Linked DNA regions of Alligator mississippiensis. Each later gene encodes a partner of the first gene's protein in a complex. Links are inferred from orthologs where the notes say so. Each region holds a gene or a part of one and is shown on either strand. Other genes may lie near its edges.

Region 1 (9,772 bases):
TTTGTCACTTAAGGAATAACTTCCTGTGCAGACATTCTGGAATAAAGTAGTGTGTAAAAGCAATAGCTATTGTAAAATAGCTCCCAGTATGGACACTTAGTCTGACATGGGAGTACTTTTTCCCAACTTACTCTAAATTTGGAAAAAGGCACTCACTTCAGCTTAATGCTGCACATACCAAAAGCCAGTCCACTTGATTTCTTTTTTTCCCTCACCACTACCTCCCTTGCTGCTGTTTATCCTTAACAGCCAGACAGAATCTCTCCCTGTGACTGACTTGTGGAGTTTATGCATCCAAGCTTGAAACATTACTTTTCTTTACTTGGGGAAATAGTGAAGCGCTACAGCTACTCTGTAATAGAGCTGTGCAACACTTCAGGTAGTGACTCAGTTTGGCATGATTTTTTTTTTTTCTTTGGTGGCCAAATCTCTGAATCCATATTGAATCGGGACCAATTGAGAGGTCTGAATTAATCCAAAGCTCTCTGAATCTTGGAAAAGATTCTGAGAGCTTTGATTCAGACAGTCCCAGGGAGCTGCAGCAGCCTCAGAGCTGGTAAGTAGCAGGGGGGGGAGAGGACCATAGGGTCCCCTGCCTGCCCCAGCTCCCAGTTTTTTTTAAAAACAAAAAACCCCGGTGCTTACCAGGTGCTGCTGGGCATAGGGTGCTGCCTGCTGCCCTATGCTGCATGGGGGGGGCTCTGTACAAGCCCCCGCCACATTGGTGCCCTGCCCAGGCTAGCTCTGGCCCTTTTTAAGAAAAAAACAAACCCTGGGATTCCCGGCTCCTGAACTGGCCTTAAGCTTTGGGGTGCTCACATAGAGATCCCTGCAGGGCAGTGAGGATCACCCCCCTGCCAGCAGGAGCCAGAATGCAAGGCTGTCTCTGACTTTTTTTTTTTTTGTTGTTTTTTCTTAAAGGGCTAGAGCTGGCCCAGGTGGGGGGGACTGGGGGAGCAAGGGGGGTTGGGGGGCTTGTGCAGAGCCCCCCCATTCAGTGGGGGGGCAGCAGCTATCACTTCTCTTCCCTGCCCTCCCCCCCCACTCACCCCCAGCAGCACCTGGTTGAGTACCAGGGCTTTTTTCTAAAGAGGAGTAGGGTGGGTGGTGCATCCATTGCTGGGCTGGGAGAGTGGGTGGGGGATGGGGTCTGGCCTGGATGATTCAGAGATTCGGCAGCAGCTGAATCAATTCGGGACAGTAATACAGATAGCCAAATCTAATCGCTGTCCCTAGAATCAGCTGAATCCAAAGTGAATACTAGCTGCTTCACACAGGCCTACTCAGTAAGGGCCAGAAGCAGACTAGTGCTGTGAACAAAATAGAATGGCTCACTACAGGAACTTATCTTTATGTATTGAAAATTAAATTTTCTTCTAATTTTCCCAATGTGTGATGGAAACATGACTGCTTCACTTAAGGCCAGTTCTGTGTCTTGTTGCCAGCTGCCACAAAATAAATGAACCTGAAACTGTTGTTACTTACTGATTATAACAACACGAGTTGTAACAGAATCCTAGTCTTGCGTAACAAGCATCACTGCTGGACTCGGTCATCTATCTTCCTACGTTCCTTTCCAAATCTTTCATCTTAATCCACCTCTTTCCCTCCAGACAACTGTCTCAAATCACTTGGTATTAGGGCTGGGTGAAGCTTTGGGTGCTGATTTGGTTCGGAGGAGATTTGGCCCAGTTTTTTTTTTTTGTTTTTTTTCTAGTGGTTGAATCTCTGACTCTGAATCAAATCAGGGGACTAGTTAAAAGGTCTGAATCTATTTGAAGCTCTCTGAATCACTTTGGAGAACTTCAGTGATTTCTGGCAGTCCCTGCTGGTTGCTTCAGGGAGCTGAACCCAGACTCCATGCTGGTAAGTACGGGGTGGGGGAGGGAAGGCTGGAGAAGAGGACTATAGAGGAACCCCTGCCAGCCCCTATTCCCTTCCCACCTCCCCATGGCTGCTCCGCCCACCCCAGCTCTCAGTTTCTAAAAAAAAAAGCTCCTACTCACTGGGTGCTGCCAGGTGGGCAACAATCCCTGCTGCCCCCCCACTGCCCTCTGCTGCATGGGGGGTGCTCTGCCACAAACCCCTGACCCCTGCCCACCCAAGCTCCCAGCCCTATAAACAAATAACCTACCCTGGACTCGCTGGCTCCTGCAGTGGCCTTGCTGCTTCTGGGGGCTTGTGGAAAAGCCCCACAAAGTGGGGGGGGGGGCAGTGGGGATTGCCCCCTGCCAGGCAGGACCTGGAGAGCAGGGTGGGTAGGTTGCTTGGTTGGTTGTCTTTTAAAGGGCCAGGAACTGCGGCAGGCAGGGCAGCCACGGAGGGACTGGGAGAGCAGCCAGGGGTGGGCTCATGACAGAGGGCTTCCCACCCCCCTCCCGCATGCAGCATGGGGCAGTGCCTGGCAGCAGCTGGTGAGTGCTAGGCTTTTTTTCTTTTCTTTTTTTTCTTTCCAAAGAGCCAGGAGCTGGGCGGGGCAGCCATTGAGAGCGGGCAGGGGATGGGGCCTGTGTGATTCGGAGATTCGGCTCATTTGGCGGGAGCCAAATCAATTAGGGACAGTGTTTCGAATCACCAAATCGAATCGCTGTCCCCCCCGAATCAGCTGAATCCAAAGCGAATACTAGCCGCTTTGCACAGACCGACTTGGTATGCTGAAGGGAGGTTTTTGGAAAAAGTTTGTTTTTTTGCAAGAAGAGGCTGGAGGGAAAACTTTAAGCTACACTTCCTGCTTGAACTCGGTCTTTCATTTAAAAAAACAAAAATAAAAAGACACCAGCTTCTCACCTGAGCAATCAAACCACCACTGTCCTTGGTCCTGCTTTCCTATGGAATTTTCCCTGAGGCCCCTCCCCACCCACAAGCAAGTTGAGGATTGGTTGGGGGGGGGGGGGGGAAACAAAAGGAGTGAGAGAGATCTGCTAAGGTCTGTGCATGTGTAACCTAAGGTTAGTGCATGCCAGCTGGGGATGAGGGCGGTGCACTGGTACACTCGTACCCTGCTTTGATTTCTAGTCCATCCAAAGTTAAAAGCCAGCATTTCTATTCAGGCAGCAGTGAGGGAGTCCATTGACTTAATGGCTCATTAGAATTTGCTCAATTCCTTCTAAACTTTCCATTAAAATAGTCTTTAATGGTTCCCTTCGTCCAGCTCTCACTTCTACCATGCTGCTACTAGCTGCTTTTAGTCTCACAGCTCCCATTTCAGAGTCCAGCAGTGGTTTTCAGGTGTAGGAACACAAACTCAAGTGAATGTTAGCTCAAGTGTAGAAATTAACTTTCAGTGGAGCACTTGGGGGAACTGTCTAGATTAGGAGTTGGTAACATTTTTGGGTAGAGTGCCAAAAACACCTACAACCTTGACTTGTAAGATGTGCCAGAGGCAGACAAAAGGGGCCTGATCCTTGTTGTGGTAGTACAGCCCTAGCCCCTTCTCTGCCATCTGCCCTGAGGCCCAAGTGCACTCGCTGCTAGCAACAAGCTGGGCCTAGGCTTTGTGGATCCCAGTGCAGCTGTTTACAGACTCCTGGCTGTCTGCCACAGCAGGCCCCAGCTCTGGGCAGGAGCCTGGGCTCTTTGCGGCAGGTTGCAAGGAGGCTGCAAAAAGCTGAACTAGGGTCATTGGAACCCTGGCCTGGCTCATTGCCAGTGGTGGGTGTATGTGCACTTCAGGGTGGGCAGCAGGGAAGGGGCCGGGGCTGTACTGCCACAACAAAGATTGGGCCCCTTGTGGCTCCCCCGCTGTCTGTCCCAATGCATGTGTGCCAAGCAAAATGCCTTCACATGTCATGCTCTGGCACATGTGCTGTGCCTAGATGCTCAAGATGGCTTGGTTTTGTTTTAGGGATCTGAAAGAGAGACATGCCTTTAACTAAAATGACTCCAAGACAAACAAAACAACATTGGGTTATTTTTTGCCTCGTTAGTTGATGTAATTGAGTAAATTCATGCACATTCCAATGCATGTTGTTCTTTTTCTTTTTTTGGCTTCAATCTTAACTTGAATACTAGAGCTCTAGGCTAATATCTATCAAGAGAGCTTCGAGCATCTTTTTCACTGGGCAAAACTGTGATGATGCACCGTACCATGTGCACCTCCCCTTTTCAGAATCCTAGATCCACCCATAGCTGTTGCCCAATGCAGAAATCAGGCCCGGGAAAGTTCTTTTGAGACTGTCTTTAAAATGGTGTGTGTGTGTAAGACTACCATCAACTGTGGTTTAAATTTTTATACGAACATATATATAATGACTACCCTCAACCCTGACACAACACAGACCTCACACCTGAACCTGCTGCAGGACAGTGGTGTTTCTCAGCATGAGGGAAACAAAAACTCTCTATATAAAGGCTGTAAACATATATAGAGCCTTTTGTTTCCCTGATGCTGAAGAACTCCACTGTCCTGCAGCAGGTTTCGGGTGTGAGGTCCTTGTTATGCCAGGGCTGAGGGTAAGTCTTTCGAAGGGTTTAAATTACAGGGAAGCTGGGGGTGAGGGGAGGTTGAGCCCCCCCCTTGCTTAAGAGATGAGAGCCCTCCTGTAAGATTTGAAAATCATAACCAGGAAGGGAGTGTCAGAATTGTACAGATTCACAGAAGTTTAGGGCTGAAAGGGATCGTATGAGATCATTGGGTCCAGCCCCCTGCTCTGGGCAGGAAAGACTGCTGGGGTCAAATAATCCCTGCAAGGTGAGCATCCAGTCTCCTTTTGAAGATCTCCAGGGTAGATTTTAGATTTTAGGGGATTTTATTAGGGCATCATGATGGGCAGCCCAACTTTTTTTGTAGACCGCTCCCCCAAGAGTCAAAGTGCAATTCAAACCCTGGTCTTTCATAGAGGTTAGAGGAGGGCTGTAGGGGTTGGTCTGTCGAGGGCTTATCCTGCCTCAGGCAGGGGGTTGACTAGACCTCTGGAGGCTGCTTCCAGCCCCACTTCTCTACAACTTTGTGAGGCTCCTCTGAGGCAGTGTTGCTAGGTCTTAAATACAATAATTTCCATAATTTCATATTTTCTGCAAAACTATTGGACACTGAAAAAAGTATGCAAATAAGTATGCGAATCAGCCTCATTTACTTTTTTATTGCTACCTGTAACCTCTAGTGAGGGAGAACTGGGGCATCCAAGTTGAAGCCTTTCTTCATTCCGAGGCAAGCTGTCAGGAGAAAGTGATGACAGCAAACCCGAAATTTGGTTAAGACCCTCCAGAGAGTGACCTGGGGTGTTTTTTTGCATATGCTGCACCAATGAGCTTCCCCGAGAATGAGCGCCCATTTTGACAACTTTTAGTATTATCTATTAGGGGTACAGCGTGCAAGGGTTGAAATTGCGCCACAAATACGATCATTACGGTAATTAAGCCCCAGTGAATCACCGAGCTACGGCTTGAGGGCGCGGCGATGGGGTTACGTCACAGCCTCGATCTGGCGCTCCCGCCTTCCCTCCCTCTCCTTTTCCGCTCTGCTCTGTCCTTCCGCACCCCCCACTCGCGCGAGAACTACCCTTCCCAGGAGGCCTCGGGGCGGAGCGCGAGGGCTGCCGGGTAAGGCGCCCAGTCGGATGACGCAAGGGACAGGGCGCGGGCTAGTGATGCTCCGCCGCCCGGGCGGGCGCTCGCGTGGTTGGCTGCTGGGCCGGACGGGGCGGGTGGGGGGGGGGGGACGGGTGTGCGGACTCGGACGCGGCGCGGGCGGGCGGGACTGAACCGGCGGCGCGTGAGGCCTGGGAGGCCGCGAGACGGGCCGCGCGCCGGCGGGGGCGCCGCTCCGCAGAGCCCGTGACGGCACAGAGGGGCGGGGCCGGGGAGCGGCCGGGCCGCGGGGGGAGGGACGGCGCGCGGGACCCGGGGAAGGGCCCGGGGCCCATCATGGCTTCGGGCAGCGGTGGCGGCAAGATCCGGACGCGGCGCTACCACCTGGGCGCCTCCACGCCCTACTCACGGGGCAAGCAGGTGAGGGGCCTGCGGGCGGGTGCGGCCCCGGGCCCACGTGGGAGCCACCGCGCCGGGCGGGGCCGCGTGGCGGGCGCGGCCGTTGGCGGGTGTTGCGCCCCGGGGGGGAAAATGGGGGGTTAACCCCTTCCTGCCCGCAGCCCCGTTTGAGGCGGGGGGTGTCCCATGGTGGGGGGCTCCCAGTTGTGGGAATAGCTGAAGGGATGGACATGGCTGGGTGGTTGGGCCAGAGGGGCTTTCCAGCCCTGCCTGTGGTAGGAGGATATGGGGGGATTGCATGTTGTGTGTGCTTGTGAGGGGTGCAGTATATTTTTTCCTGATGACTTTTTTCCTGACTTTTTTTTTTATCTTGTTCCATTGATGTTTCAGATTTTTGCTGCTTTGAACCCTTGTTTCTGCCCATCTCAGTCCAGTTTACAAAGCCCCCCACTCCTCCCCCCCCCCCCCAGGTGCTTCCACTGAGGGCTTCTGCATCACAGCCTCCTTCCCTGCCCCTTTCCTCTGAAGTTTTTCAAGAGTGGTCCCCTACACGTGGCTTTTGTCTGGAACATCCTGGGTGTGATATAATATGAAGGGGGAGCGGGAAATCTTGCTTCATAAACTGCTCTCCTGCCTTCCCCTTCTGTGCCTTGCCTCCCTGGGTGGAGAGAGAATGAGTTTTTGTTAGCAAATCACTGCTCTTCCCCCAGGGAGCTGTCTTGGGTGCATAGCCCAAGCTGCTGGAGGCAGGCAGGAGGGAAGGCGTCTGCCCTGTTAATGCCTCAGCTTGCCACCTGTTTGAGATGTGCCCGTGGCTTGCATAAGCCGTGCCCCTGTGTACTTTGCTAGTATCACTTTGGGAACACTTAAGGGAAGTGTTGAAGGCAACAGTCTAAGTTACTGCTTTTTTTAATTAGTAACTTCAGCTAGAAGACCATGTAAATGAGGATTTGCGTGTATGTGTGTAGATACAGGTTGGGGGGGTGTACCTTCACTGAGGGTGCCATGGTATCCTGGGGTGCCTTGAGATCCTTTCTAGGGTGCTGCAGGGTGCCATGCAGTGTTGGAAATGCTAGGTATGCAGCCATGATTCACAAAGTACACCTTCATATAATCCACAGAATCAAAACCATTCTGACCTGTTGTAGTCTTTCTGAGTTCCTTGCAACTGAAGAGTTGCTCTGTTAATTTTCCGTAGTCAAAAAATAAGTGAAAACTAAGAGATGACATTTTCCAAGGGGTGCCTTAGTTTATCATGGAGTGCCTTGAGTCTAAGAAGTTTAAAAACCCCTGATCTAGATAGATGTTGATATATGCTCAGAGGCAGACACGCACAGATATATATACAATGACATATTTCCTCTCAAAATCATTAACAGGGAGTTGTAATTTGTGTACAGCCTTAAGCACAATATTGTTTTATACAGCGTGATATGTGCATTTGTCTCGGAAATTCTGGTGCAGCCTAATGACACAGACATCTAACTGTTGAAAGCAAGTTGCTACTCTTTCAGATCAAGTATTGACATACTTTTGCAAAAGGTGAAGCAGAACTGAAAAATCAGGTAATGTGCATGATGATGAGACCTAGTTGAAGAATGATAAAGCTGTAAAGATAGATACTGAAACCAAAATATACCAATCAAATTTACGGTAAAATACGGTAAAATATCTGAGGAAAGTTTCTTTTCTGTATTGTAATAATTTTAAATTCCATTGTCTCATTGGTTTATTAAATTGTGCATGTTTTGTTGGATATTTCAAAAAGCACTTTTCCAGGTTGAGCTTGCAAACTTGCAGAACATTCTGCATATTTATTTCTGGGCAGCTAATTTTAAGTAGTAGGCTTAAATTTTGCCGATGTGTGCTAATAGTCTAGACTAGGGCCCAAGACATGCAACCTTCCAGTGTGATCCCTGTGGCCCTCCATAATCTATTAAATGAGAAGATTTGAAAAGCAAAACAGTTGAGTCCTGTGTCCTTGCTGTGTGGTAGTTTGCTAATCTGCACGTATGCCTACATGTGCAGTCTAGTTTTCTGCTTGTAGCCATGACTGAGAGCTGATGTCCAGTCAGAGTAGATCCCACTAGGGACAGCCTCCATTGGAAAATGTACCTTGCAAGGAGCCCTCAATAAAGTTTAAATTGTTGGCCTTTAGATTAAATTTTTTTAATGACCTTTGAAAGAATTTAGGCACCCGGGTCAAAAAAATTGCAATCCTAAAACCTTCTGAATCAGACCTGCCTCTTGAGGCATCTCTCTTCAATACATGCTGCAGTCTGTAACCTTAAAATTCCTTCTTTTTTTTTTTTTTTTTTTTTGCCTGAAATTTCTATTTCTGCATGTACCCAGAAGTACCTTGGTGCTAACCTACTCAGTCTTTTCAAAACCTAGTTCAGACTTATTCCCCAATCAGAAACTAAAAAGTAGGCATTGATCCAGCTAAGTCTTTAAAGGGATTTAGTCCAGTAGATATTCTACAAGCATACCTAGCAGTTACCAGTGGAATCAGACATCATATAGCAGGATGTGAGGCTTTGGCTGCCCACCTATCTCCCAGCCAGGGTTGGGTCATTCCAGCCTGTGGCTGGAAAAGATTGTCTACCCCTGACCTGTAGGATACATTGGCAGCTTTAGAGGTAGCTGGAGGAAGGGGGTTGAGCCAGTGGGATGTCTCAGGTCTGATCAAGGAGTTGTTTGCTCTGTTTTGTGAAAGCTTAATGATTTTGCACTTGCTCAGAATATGGGGCCTCAGTGAGTTTCCTCTTCTGCCTGAGAGGATTTAGACCCATATCTCCTGTCTTACAGAGCATGATATTCTAGAGCAGGGGTGGGCAAAATACGGCTCATGGGCCAGATCCAGCCTACGGCTGCCCCCATAGTGCTCCACATGGGGCCAAGTTCCACCCGCTCATGCCTGGGTCCCAACTTGTGCCTGGGCACGCAGCTTCCAATGGGGGTGTTCTCAGTGCTGCTCTGCTCTCCTCATCTCCAGCTGGAGCTGCCCAGCTGAAGCTTCCGCCTCCCTACCTGATTGCCCACCTGGAGTGGCACAGTAGGAGCAGGAGGACTAAGCTGCTGCTGAAGGCAAGGGGAGCAGAGAAGCACCCAGTTGGCTACCACTGCTCTGGAAATAGCCCCACCAGAAGCTATGGGTGCTGGCCAGGGCCCAGGCCAATAGGGCTGCTCTGCTTTTGCCTCCAGCTGTGGCTCCTCCTTTCACCCCTGCTGCAACACTCTGGGCAGGGGGTGCTTCTGCCTCAGTGCGCAGGGCTCTGCCTCCAGCTCCTGGCTGCCTTTCACCTGCTTTGGCCACCTGGTGTGATGAGCTGTCAACTGTGGGCAGGCAGAGTGTGTGGAAGTTGGCCAGGAGGTGGAGTTGGAGGCAACTTGCTGAAGCTCATTTGTGCCGGCCTGGGCCCAGCAGGGCTGTTCCCAGTATGGCTGCAGCCCTCAGGGTACTGCTCTGCTCCCCTTGCTTCCAGCAGCAGTTGTTCCTACTGCTCCGGGCAGGTGGGAGGAAGCTTCAGCCAGGCAGATCTGGCTGGGGGTGAGGGGAGCAGAGTAACACCTGGCCAGCTACAGCCACACTGGGAGCAGCCCTGCCAGAAGCTGCATGCTAGCTGGGGCCATGACCAAGGCTGGGCTGGTGGGTGTGTAGAGGAGCATGGTGTGGGCTGCCCTGGGTGGGGGGGGTGTTGAGCCCCATACAGAGCGCTGCAGGGGCAGTTGAAGCTGCATCCCCTAAGGGAGCTCTGCTGCCTCCCCTGGCCTTCCCCCCTCATGCTTATGCCCCTCCATACCTGCCCCCCCGCAGTTCAGGAAGCATCAGCCTTTCCTATGC
Region 2 (10,032 bases), on another chromosome or scaffold:
TGGTTTGAAGCGGGCAGGTGACAAGGCAGGTGTGGGCCGGCAGTGCCAGCGGCCGCTGCTTGGCATCCCGCGCGGGGCTGCGCCCCCGGGCCCCGTGGGGGTAAGCAGCTCCCCTCCCCTCCCTGCCGGCTGGGGCCCGCAGGCCGGCTCTGCCTGCCTCGCTGTGACCCTGACCTGCCTGTCTTGCCATGGCCCCACCACCCCACCGCCGCTGTGGCTCCATGCCACCACTGCCTCTGCAGCCCCGCTGCCGCTGCAGCACTGCCACAGCGGCCCCACGCCACTGCCACCACAGCCCCACACTCCGCAGTGGTGGCTCTGCACTCTGTGCCGCTGCCCTGCGGCGGCAGCCCCATGCTCCGCTGCCGCTCTGGCCCCACGCTCCGCCACCACCGTGGCCCTGTGCTCCATGGTGGTGGCACTGCTGCTGCCACGGGCCCGATAAAATGGCTTGGCGGGCCGCATGGTGGCCCGCGGGCCATATGTTGGGCAAGCCTGCTCTACACTAATGCTCGTAGTGTTGTCTAAAAATGTCCAACTCGGGATCCTTAAAAGTCTGGTTTATTAGGCGGATTGAAACACTGTAATGAAGTCAAATCATAAACCTTGGGGCTGGTCCCCACCCACAGACACACACACGCACACACATGCACACACACAGTAGCGAGTTACAAGAGTTGGGTATACTTATCCCACAGGTGCTGGAGTCTGCCGTCGATGGCCAGTCGAGGCTTCTTCCAGTGTGGTGTTATCCTCCAGAAGGGGGTCGCCGGCTGGTCCTTCTGGCTGGACAGGTTGGGTGCTGGTCAAGTTGGAGATCAAGAGGGCACCCCTGAGCGTCACTTTTCACTGCTTTTTATCTGTCCTTGGCGGACTTCAGTGACTCCCCAGTTTTCAGGTTTGCCCAATCCAGGGGTCATTGACCCTCGTGGGACTTCCCCCTTGGTGGCTACTGGATGGCATCTGTCAGCCTCAGGGGTTGTCCGCATATACATGCAGGTTTGGGAGTCCGTTGATGAATTTTGATTAATTTACTGTTGTCATGAGTAGGGCTCTGGGAGCGGTCTATCTGGAGATATTTAGTCCCAAAAGTTGGTCCCCGGTGTTGATTAACTCAGACGGGGGCTTCTAGCCCTTGAACAGTGAAGTTTAGAGAATTCCTGGTTGCTACGTTGTCTCCTATTGATTTCCTCCCTTGGTTGATCTGTGGTTTTCCTAGGTGTTAATTGATTTTAGTTACTGAAGCCTGCTACTGTGTTACACATTCAATCACTGATTGACTCACTCTTTCAGGGGTCCGCCTGATACAGGGAAGCCCAGTTTGATTCCTGCCCTTGTTAACATTGTTACAATGTATAACTTACTTCTGAAACTAAACACTTTTAGTTAAAAGGTGAGGAGTATAAAATATAAGCTACAAGAGTAATGCCATGGCACACAAATAGATAAAAATACCAAAATACAAGGAGAGATACAAAATACACACATACAAACTTTAAAACACAATTCCTTATCTTATAGCGAAAGAAAGAGAAAGGAAGAAAAGGTAGAAGAAGAGAAACATATCCAAAAAGGAGAGAGCAAATGCAAGCAAGAGGAAAAGGGGGCTTTCTGCTATAGTAGTATGGGGAACAAGCAGGAGGAACTTGCCCTCCTGCTAGCTAACACAAACCCAGACATAGTGGGACTTACTGAAACTTACTGAGATCCAATGCACGACTGGGTGGTAAACATCAAGGGCTATAGGCTGTACAGGCAGGTTAGAATGGGGAGGAAAAGTCAGGCTGTGGTGCTGTACATCAAAGAGCAATACACATCCTCAGCAAACAGCACTGGGTCATTGGAGGGGCAGACTGAAGTGCTCTGGGTCAGAATACAAGGGGGTCGGGGGGAAAAGGGACTTAATGGTGGGGGTCTACTACAGACCACCCAACCAGGGGGAAGAGCTAGACTGGGAATTCTCAGATCAGCTTGTGGAGGCAGTTAAGTCAAGGAACGTGGTCATCATGGGTGACCTAAACTATCTGGACATCTGCTGGGAAGAGCAGCCAGCCAGGTCTGACCGCTCACGTAGGTTCCTAGCTGAGTTACAGGACCTCCATCAAACCCAGGAGGTGCACAGTCTCACCAGGTGAAATGCCTTATTGGACCTGGACCTGGCCACAGGTGATGACCTGGTGAGGTGACTGCCGGGTGCTCAATCACCTGGGTGATAGCGATCATTGTCTGCTGGAATTCACCATCCAGCGCAGGGTGTCAAAGGCCTGCAGCAAGGCAGCAGCCCTGGACTTCAGGAGGGCAGATTTCGATGATGTAAGGAGACTAGTCGGGGAGGCACAGAGGTCCCGGAGGGGAGGGGATTTGGGAATCTAAGAAGAGTGGTTGTTCCTTAAGGAGACTATCTTCCAAGCCCAAAGGGTGACAATCCCAAAGCAGCTCAAAGGGGGCAAGAGTGCTCAAAAGCCCCCATGGCTCACCAAAAGCATCTAGGAACATCTCAAAGCTAAAAAGGAGGCATACACCCAATGGAAGGGAGGGGTCATCACCAAGGAGGATTATACCTCCATTGTTCGAGATTGTCGGGGGGCTGTTAGGAAGGCTAAGGCGGAGACGGAACTGGGACTAGTGACCCGGATCAAAAATAGCAAGAAGTCCTTTTTTAAATACATAGCGGGTAAAAAGAAGTTACCAGGTAACGTGGGACCTCTGCAGGATGTGCTTGGAAATCTGGTGGTCACACCAGACAACAAAGCTAACCTCTTTAACACATTCTTTTCCTCTATTTTTCTGAGCAGGGACCAGGTTATCCCCTCCACCGGGATCCTGGACAGACCCAAGGGAGGTGCAGCCAGACCCAGGTTCATCGAGGACCTAGTCAGGGAACTTCTGGTGGGACTAGATGTGTTCAAATCAGCAGGTCCTGACAATCTCCACCTCAGACTGCCGAGGGAATTGGCAGAGATCATTGCGGGACCCCTGGCACAGCTTGACAAGCACTCGTGGTGCTCTGGCAAGGTGCCAGAGGACTGGAAAAGGGCCAATGTGGTTCCCATTTTCAAAAAAGAGAGAAAGGGAGGACCCAGGAAACTATAGGCCAGTTAGTCTTACCTTGGTCCTGGGAAAGCTCTTTGAAAAATTATCCAGGAACACATCTGTGAGGGGCCAGCAGGGGAGATTATGCTTAGGGGCAATCAACACGGGTTCATTAGAGGCAGGTCCTGTCAGACCAACCTGGTTGCCTTCTACAACCAGGTCACAAAATCCTTGGACGCAGGTCTTTATAAACTTTAGGAAGGCCTTTGACACTGTCTCTCACCCCATTCTCATTAAAAAATTAGGTGACTGTGGTGCTGATGCCTGCACAGTCAGATGGGTCACAATTTGGCTGGAGGGAGTGGTGGTGGATGGGTCATTTTCATCCTGGAGGGATGTGGGCAGTGGGGTTCCCCAGGGCTCGGTCCTCGGGCCTGCACTGTTCAATATCTTCATCAGTGACTTGGAGGAGGGGGTGAAAAGCACCTTGTTCAAATTCGCAGATGACACTAAGATGTGGGGAGAAGTGGGCATGCTAGAGGAGAGGGACAGGCTACAACTATCTCTGGACAGGTTACAGGGGTGAGCAGATGAGAACAGGATGGGTTTCAATACTGACAAGTGCAAGGTACTGCACCTAGCAGGGAAGAACCAGCAGCATGCCTACAAGCTGGGGAACTCCCTTCTCATCAGCACAGAGGCAGAAAAGGATCTTGGAGTCACTGTTGAGTCCAAGATGCATGTGGGCCACCAATGTGAGGATGCGGTCAGTAAGGCTAACCGCACCTTGTCATGCATCCACAGATGTATCATGAGCAGGTCCAAGGAGGTGATCCTCCCCTCTATGCGACACTGGTCAGGCTGCAGCTGGAGTACTGTGTCCAGTTCTGAGCGCCACACTTCAGGAGGGATGTGGACAGCATCGAGAGGGTCCAGAGGAAGGCCACCCACATGATCAGGGATCTGCAGGGCAGGCCCTATGAGGAGAGGCTATGGGACCTGAACATGTTCAGCCTCCACAAGAGAGGGCTGAAAGGGGATCTGGTGGCCATCTATAAACTGGCCAAGGGAGACCAGCAGGCAATGGGAGAGTCCCTGTTCCCCCAAGCACTACCGGGAATAACAAGGAACAAAGACCTTAAGCTGACTGAAAGTAGATTCAGACTAGACATCAGGAGGTGCTACTTCACTGTCAGGGTACTAGGTTCTGGAACCAACTTCCAAGGGAAGTGGTGCTTGCTTCTACCCTGGGGGTCTTCAAAAGGAGGCTGGATAATCACCTAGCCGGGGTCGTTTGACCCCAGCATTCTTTCCTGCCCATGGCAGGGGGTTGGACTTGATGAGCTGCTCAGGTCCCTTCCAACCCTCCCAACTATGAAACTATAATCTTTCTGATTCATTATTTTGGAATCATACAGGCTCCATAGGTTTGTTAAATAAAGCCATGGGACTTCATTCTCTGCTGAAGGGGAAGGGATCCTATGGTAAAGAGATTCTGGAAGCAAGGAATAAAGAACAGGAAGTGCTCCCGCTGTGAAGGCTTCATTACTGACTTGGAATTGAGAAGACACAGAACCTGTGGGAATGCATGCAATGCCTACATGCAGGGCTGTCTCTGCTGACTGGTGCAGAAGGGGTTGAATCAAATCCTTGCCCTTATCTCATCCTTATTTTAGGGAAGGGTAATTTTTGGCTCTAACCTGGAGCATAGATTGCACTCACAGGTCCCAATCATGCAAGACCTTTTGTGGCCTTTGCAAAAAATACTGAATGTGTTTGGGTGCCTGTAGATGTACAGGAAGGGTGCTCTGTAATTACAGCATGTTGGAGCAGACTCAATTAATCAAGTCTGCTGGAGTGTGCTAATTAATGCACTCCAGCAGCCTGCATGTCTCATGTATTCAGCGTCCCCATGCTTTAAGATGGTGGTGGGGGCCCTTTAACTAAAGCTTGTTCAGTAAGCTTCAGTTAGTGCTCCTACTGCCATTTTGAAGCATGGGACATTGATTACACAAGACACTGAGGGCACTTCAATTAGAGTGGCTCTCTGAGCTGCTCTAAATACCCCCCCTTCCCCCCCTGGAGCATGTGTAATAACACCCTTTAATTCAAATCAGCATTTTTCTGAGTTATGGATGCTCTTTACCTTGCAGAGTCTAGATCAGGGGTCAGCAATGTTTTTGAGCAGAGTGCCAAAAACACCCACAACCTTGACTTGTAAGATGTTGGCATGCCGGGGGTGGATGGCAGGGGCTGCAAGGGGCCAAATACTTGTTGTGGCAGTGCAGGCCTGGTCCACTCTCCACCGTCTGCCCCAAGGTGCGTGTGCCAAGCAAAATGCCTTTGCATGCCATGTTCTGGCACCCGTGCCGGGGATCGTCCACCCCTGGTTTAGATCATTTACTGGCTCCTAGACTGGAATACAAAGGGAGAGAAGTTTTGCATCCACCCCTTCACTTTGCAAATCTGTGACAATCTGATTCATACTCAAGGCCTAGGGTCTTGGGTGAATTGAGCAGGAAATATGATCTGTTAAAACAAATAGTCAAGCCAGCAGCCTCCCACCCTTATCAAGTTGTTTGGAAGGACAGTTGTTTTCTGTCCAAGGACAGGGCACCTCTGTAAGTGCCTTGTGTCTCCTGTAATTTTTCAACTCACCACTGTGCGTAGCAAAATCTTTAAAAAAATTGTAGAGAAAAGAAAGAAGGGGAGAGAAAAAAAATCCTCTCTCTCTGCTTTCTCCTCACTGGAGACAGCTGGCATTTTAAACTAGAATGCTGGATCCAGCGTCCTTGAAGGACCAATGTCAGATGTTGGCATTATGAATGTCAGACACCAGACGATCACGCAGCTCCATGTCACCAGCAAGGCAGACAGCATGAAACAAATCCAGATGGCAAGGTAAGAAACTACTAGGCAGGAGGGAGGGAGAAGTGTTCTCCGGCTGCCTTTTAAATATTGCTACTGATCTTTCAACCAAAGCACTTAATAGCCTCTGAAGGAGCAGTATCTTCACCTCTTTACCCTTTGGCTCCAGCTTATGCCACTAAAATGCAATCGGGGGTGGAGGTGCAGGGCAGGGGGAGATTGGAATCTGCTGCTGATCAGGATGTGCCCGTGGTAGGAGGAAGTATAGTGAATACACTGGGGGGAAGAGAGATCATAAGACAGTTACTATGCCTGGCCCTCAGGCTTTAAATTCTGTTTTTAGAGAGTTTGAAGGGTGAAGGGCATTTGATCCCACTCACTCCTCCGAGTGGATTTTACTGTGGAAATCAGGGCATGCCCATCCGATGATATTACATTTGAATCTCCCCGCAGAAGATCTATAAAACTAGAGGTGACTGTAGCCTGTTAGGCTGAGATCCCCAAGAGGGAAAGTCGGCCACAGCAACCTGCAAGTTATCCCTCACTGGGAGGCTCCGTGCTAGGCCGGTACAGCCCTCCAACAGGGAAACCAGCCAGGAGGAAGAGCAGCGCCCTCCCGGGCAGCCGCACATCAGAGTTGCTCGCCCCAGAACAGCCCAAGGCGGAGGCCGTGAGAGCAGCCTTGGTGCGCACCCTGATCGAGCCCTGGCCTGAGGAGATGAAATGAGGCCTGTGACCCGTACAGGCCTCCATCCACCTCCTCCCGCCCCCGCCCGGGTGTCGGGGGCAGGGCGGGGCGGGGCAGGGCAGGGCCGGGCCAAGCAACCCCAGGGCCACCGCCAGGGGACACCCCGCCCCTACTGCCCGTGTCTCCTGCCAGCGCCTCAATAAAGTTTTGGCGTGGGGGCTGCTGGGAGCTTGGTGGCTGCTCCAATCAGCGCGTGCGGCGCGGAGTGGGCACCCGCGGCGGAAGGACACCGGTAAGTGGCGCCGGGCCGGCGCGTGCGGGACGGCGGCGGCGGCGGCTGTGGCCTCTGCGGCCTCCCCCCGGGGCCACGTGCGCGGCCCTCAGTGAGTCCCTGTCCGGCGGCTCGTGCTCGCCCGGGCGGAGCTCCCGGGCCCCGGGCTTGTCAGCGCGCCGGGCGGGTCTGCCCCGAGCACGAGCTTCCCGGCTTGTGTGGGCGCCTGCAGCCGCCTGCGCCCTGCCCTCTGGGGCCTCCCCTGCCTGGTCTCTAGTGCGGGTTCTCGGCCTCTTCAGCGGCCAGGCCCCTGCGTTAGGCTCCAGCCCCCTCGGAAAGTGCCCGCTCTTAACTTTCCCTTGGATTTCACTGGTCTGCAAAGTACAGCTCTCCCCAGCCCGCTACTTGACTTCAGACTAAGAAACCATCACTATCTCTTTGTGCTGACTACCGGCCATTTCCCATTTGCTCCTTTTAGGCTTTGACTGGACTAACCCATCAACAGGGGAAAAGGACTATAGGGAAACAAATGGCATATGACAAATGTCCTAGACACGTTAAAAAATATCTAACTGAAATGCGTACGGTGTGGTTTTGCTCTCCTCTGTTCTCTGCATTCTCTGCCTTTCTGACCAGCAGTAGCCTCAAGTATGTTCTCTTGATTGGGACACTAGGTTTACTGGACCTTTTTAGATGGGATCTGATTTGTCTTCTAGCCCTGGTCTCTACAGGGTTGCAGCACAAAATGCTGACTTGAGTGCAACCAGGGTTACAATCTCCATGGGCAAGGCAAACCTCTTGTTAATGTGGTTGGAGTTTTCTTTTGTTAAAACTTAGTCTTTTGACACAGTGAAACTTGATGGGTAGATGCACACCACTCCATGCTGCTGGCTACCTTCCCTGGCCCAACACTGGCCTTGGCTCAGTAATTCTGTCACATGCACAATGCCTGTATTTTTGGATGTGTGATATTTTTTTTTTTCCAGCAGAGAGGCTATCTCAGTAATTTCTACATTTCTTTTGTAACATCCTTTATAATTTCTGAGTGTGTTGAGTTTTTGTCTCCCCCCCCCCCCCCTTCCAAATAATGGTAGCTTTCCACGTAACAGTGGTTAGCCTAGTATGTCAATGGTCTGGGCTCGGATTGGGTGCTTAATGTATATAGAAAGGAGTTTGGGGAAAAAGCATGAATTCTGAGGTAACAAAACTGACAGGTGACACTATTACAGGTTTCCTTTGCTTTATGCTGTACACGCATTCCTGGAAAACGGTGCATACCTCAAATTCATACAAAGGGAACCCACTTTACAATGTAACAAATCGGGATACATTCCAAGACCTCGATTGTACTGACCCCCACTTTACAAGACCGTTTTGGTACTTGCCAACTGCACAGGGTGGTGGTGAATGTTACCATAATAAGGATGGCAACTGCAGAAGCACGTGTCACAGACCACAAGCGAGGAGCACAGATCCACACAGGCAGGGCCCTGTCCCTGTGGCAGGGGTGAAATGGGGTGACCACCCCAGGCCCTGTGCTTTGTGGGGCCCTGCAGAGCTGGGTGGAGCAGCAGCGGCACATCCAGCCACTCGCTACCCCCCACACCACCGCTGGTGCTGACGACTGTGGCAGCTTCTTTGGGTCCGAGGCCCATGGGATTGGAGTAGGATTGGGGCCCCGCAAACGCTGACTTGCCCCGAGTCCTGTACCCTGCTTGGGTATGCTGTGCACGCAGGAGACTATATTTGGGTGTGCGTCAAAGCAGCTGTCTGAGGGCTTCCACCACACTGATCACATAAGAGTGAATTTACCTTGTATATAATGAATTTTTGGTATAAATAGCTCAGCGGATAAGAGTGAATTTGCGCATACAGAACCTGCATAAAGCAAGCAAAACCTCTATTTAAGAGGCAAGGGTCGAGAAACCTGAGGAAAACCTGCATGGTTGCTTTGCAAGTTGTATAGAAACATAAAAACAAGCTGACAGTCAAAAATACTAAAAAGCTTGTTTGCGCAATCAACAAGTAGTCTGCAGCGTTCAGGTTATAGAATTTTTATATCAAGGAGTTGTAAAGCCAGAATTTCTAGTGGTTGGTGAAAACTTGGAAATGGATGGTTGTTTTTGTAAGTATTATTTTTATTGTAGGATTTTAAATACAGGGACCTCCAGAAGCTGAGAGAAAGGGAGGAGCCATCAGCAAAGCTTTGGGACATGCCTTACTGTATAGCTTAGCAGCTTCTCCATCTTCTGAGTAGAGAGAAGATGTTGGACTTGTTGCCAAAGTGCTGCCTTGCACCTTCTTTAGGTGGCTTGATACTGCTACTCCTAGCTGCCCCTAAAGCCTCTAGAAAATCAGCAGTGTTAGAGTCTCCTTTTCTCACAGGAGCTTCTTGCTCATCCTTGGGTTTGTCTTTCTTTCTCTCTCTCTCCTCATGATTAGTTTCAATTTCTATAGGTGCTGCTGCTGGTAGCTTTCCTAGGGAAGCTGAGGAGTCAAATTGACCTGATTCTTGTCTCTTTCATTGTTGCTTATGAGTTTCTGAATGTAAAGGGTGAAACTGAACCAGACTTGTCAATTTCACTTTGCTGCAGTAGTACTGGAGAGGTCTGGTATGCAGGAGGGTAGATAGTATATCTTCATATTCATTTTCCATTTCGGAGAGATCTTCAAAGCTGTAAGTGGTAGATGGCCTTAATAAAAGATTGGTAGACTATATTCAGAGTTTAATGTGACCACTCTACACACCAGTTATAAAACAATGACTTGTTGAAAAAATATATAAGTAATGGAGTCTTTTTAACCTTGAGTTTTGATGTCTAACTCTAAATGTGGGTACTTCTATTATATTTTAGATATTTTATCTGTTATATTATCTTTCATAGTAATAAGCTAAAAAAATTAAATTGCTCTATATTTCTCAAAGCTAATTAATTAGATGACACATACCTTTCAGTATTTGAAAGATAACGGATGATGTTCACATATTTGAATATTTAAGCTTTGAAGCCTGTTCAATAAAATATTCAGCATGGCTATATTTGGAGTACATTAATTACGACATTCTTCATTGGGCAGCATCACTGTCGTCTTGAGGAGAATTAGTCGTTTTTTTAAATGGCAAATCATCATTTAAATCAGTGTGGAGTTAACAAACCATACCTGTCATTGC

What was found. Proteins that work in one complex are often made in the same cells at the same time.
Region 2: NUP153 (region 1) and NUP93 share a complex: the UniProt entries of both Homo sapiens proteins name them as parts of the nuclear pore complex. The link is inferred for Alligator mississippiensis from reciprocal best matches to the Homo sapiens genes NUP153 and NUP93.

Annotation. Positions count from the first base shown.
Region 1 is NC_081826.1:130,931,135-130,940,906, reverse strand, and holds the start of NUP153 (nuclear pore complex protein Nup153), read left to right. Parts: upstream 1-5,697; 5' UTR 5,698-5,865; coding exon 5,866-5,949; intron 5,950-9,772. UniProt on the Homo sapiens protein: Component of the nuclear pore complex (NPC), a complex required for the trafficking across the nuclear envelope. Functions as a scaffolding element in the nuclear phase of the NPC essential for normal nucleocytoplasmic transport of proteins and mRNAs.
Region 2 is NC_081833.1:36,476,305-36,486,336, forward strand, and holds the start of NUP93 (nuclear pore complex protein Nup93), read left to right. Parts: upstream 1-5,746; 5' UTR 5,747-5,934; intron 5,935-6,774; exon of another isoform or gene 6,775-6,881; intron 6,882-10,032. UniProt on the Homo sapiens protein: Plays a role in the nuclear pore complex (NPC) assembly and/or maintenance. May anchor nucleoporins, but not NUP153 and TPR, to the NPC. During renal development, regulates podocyte migration and proliferation through SMAD4 signaling.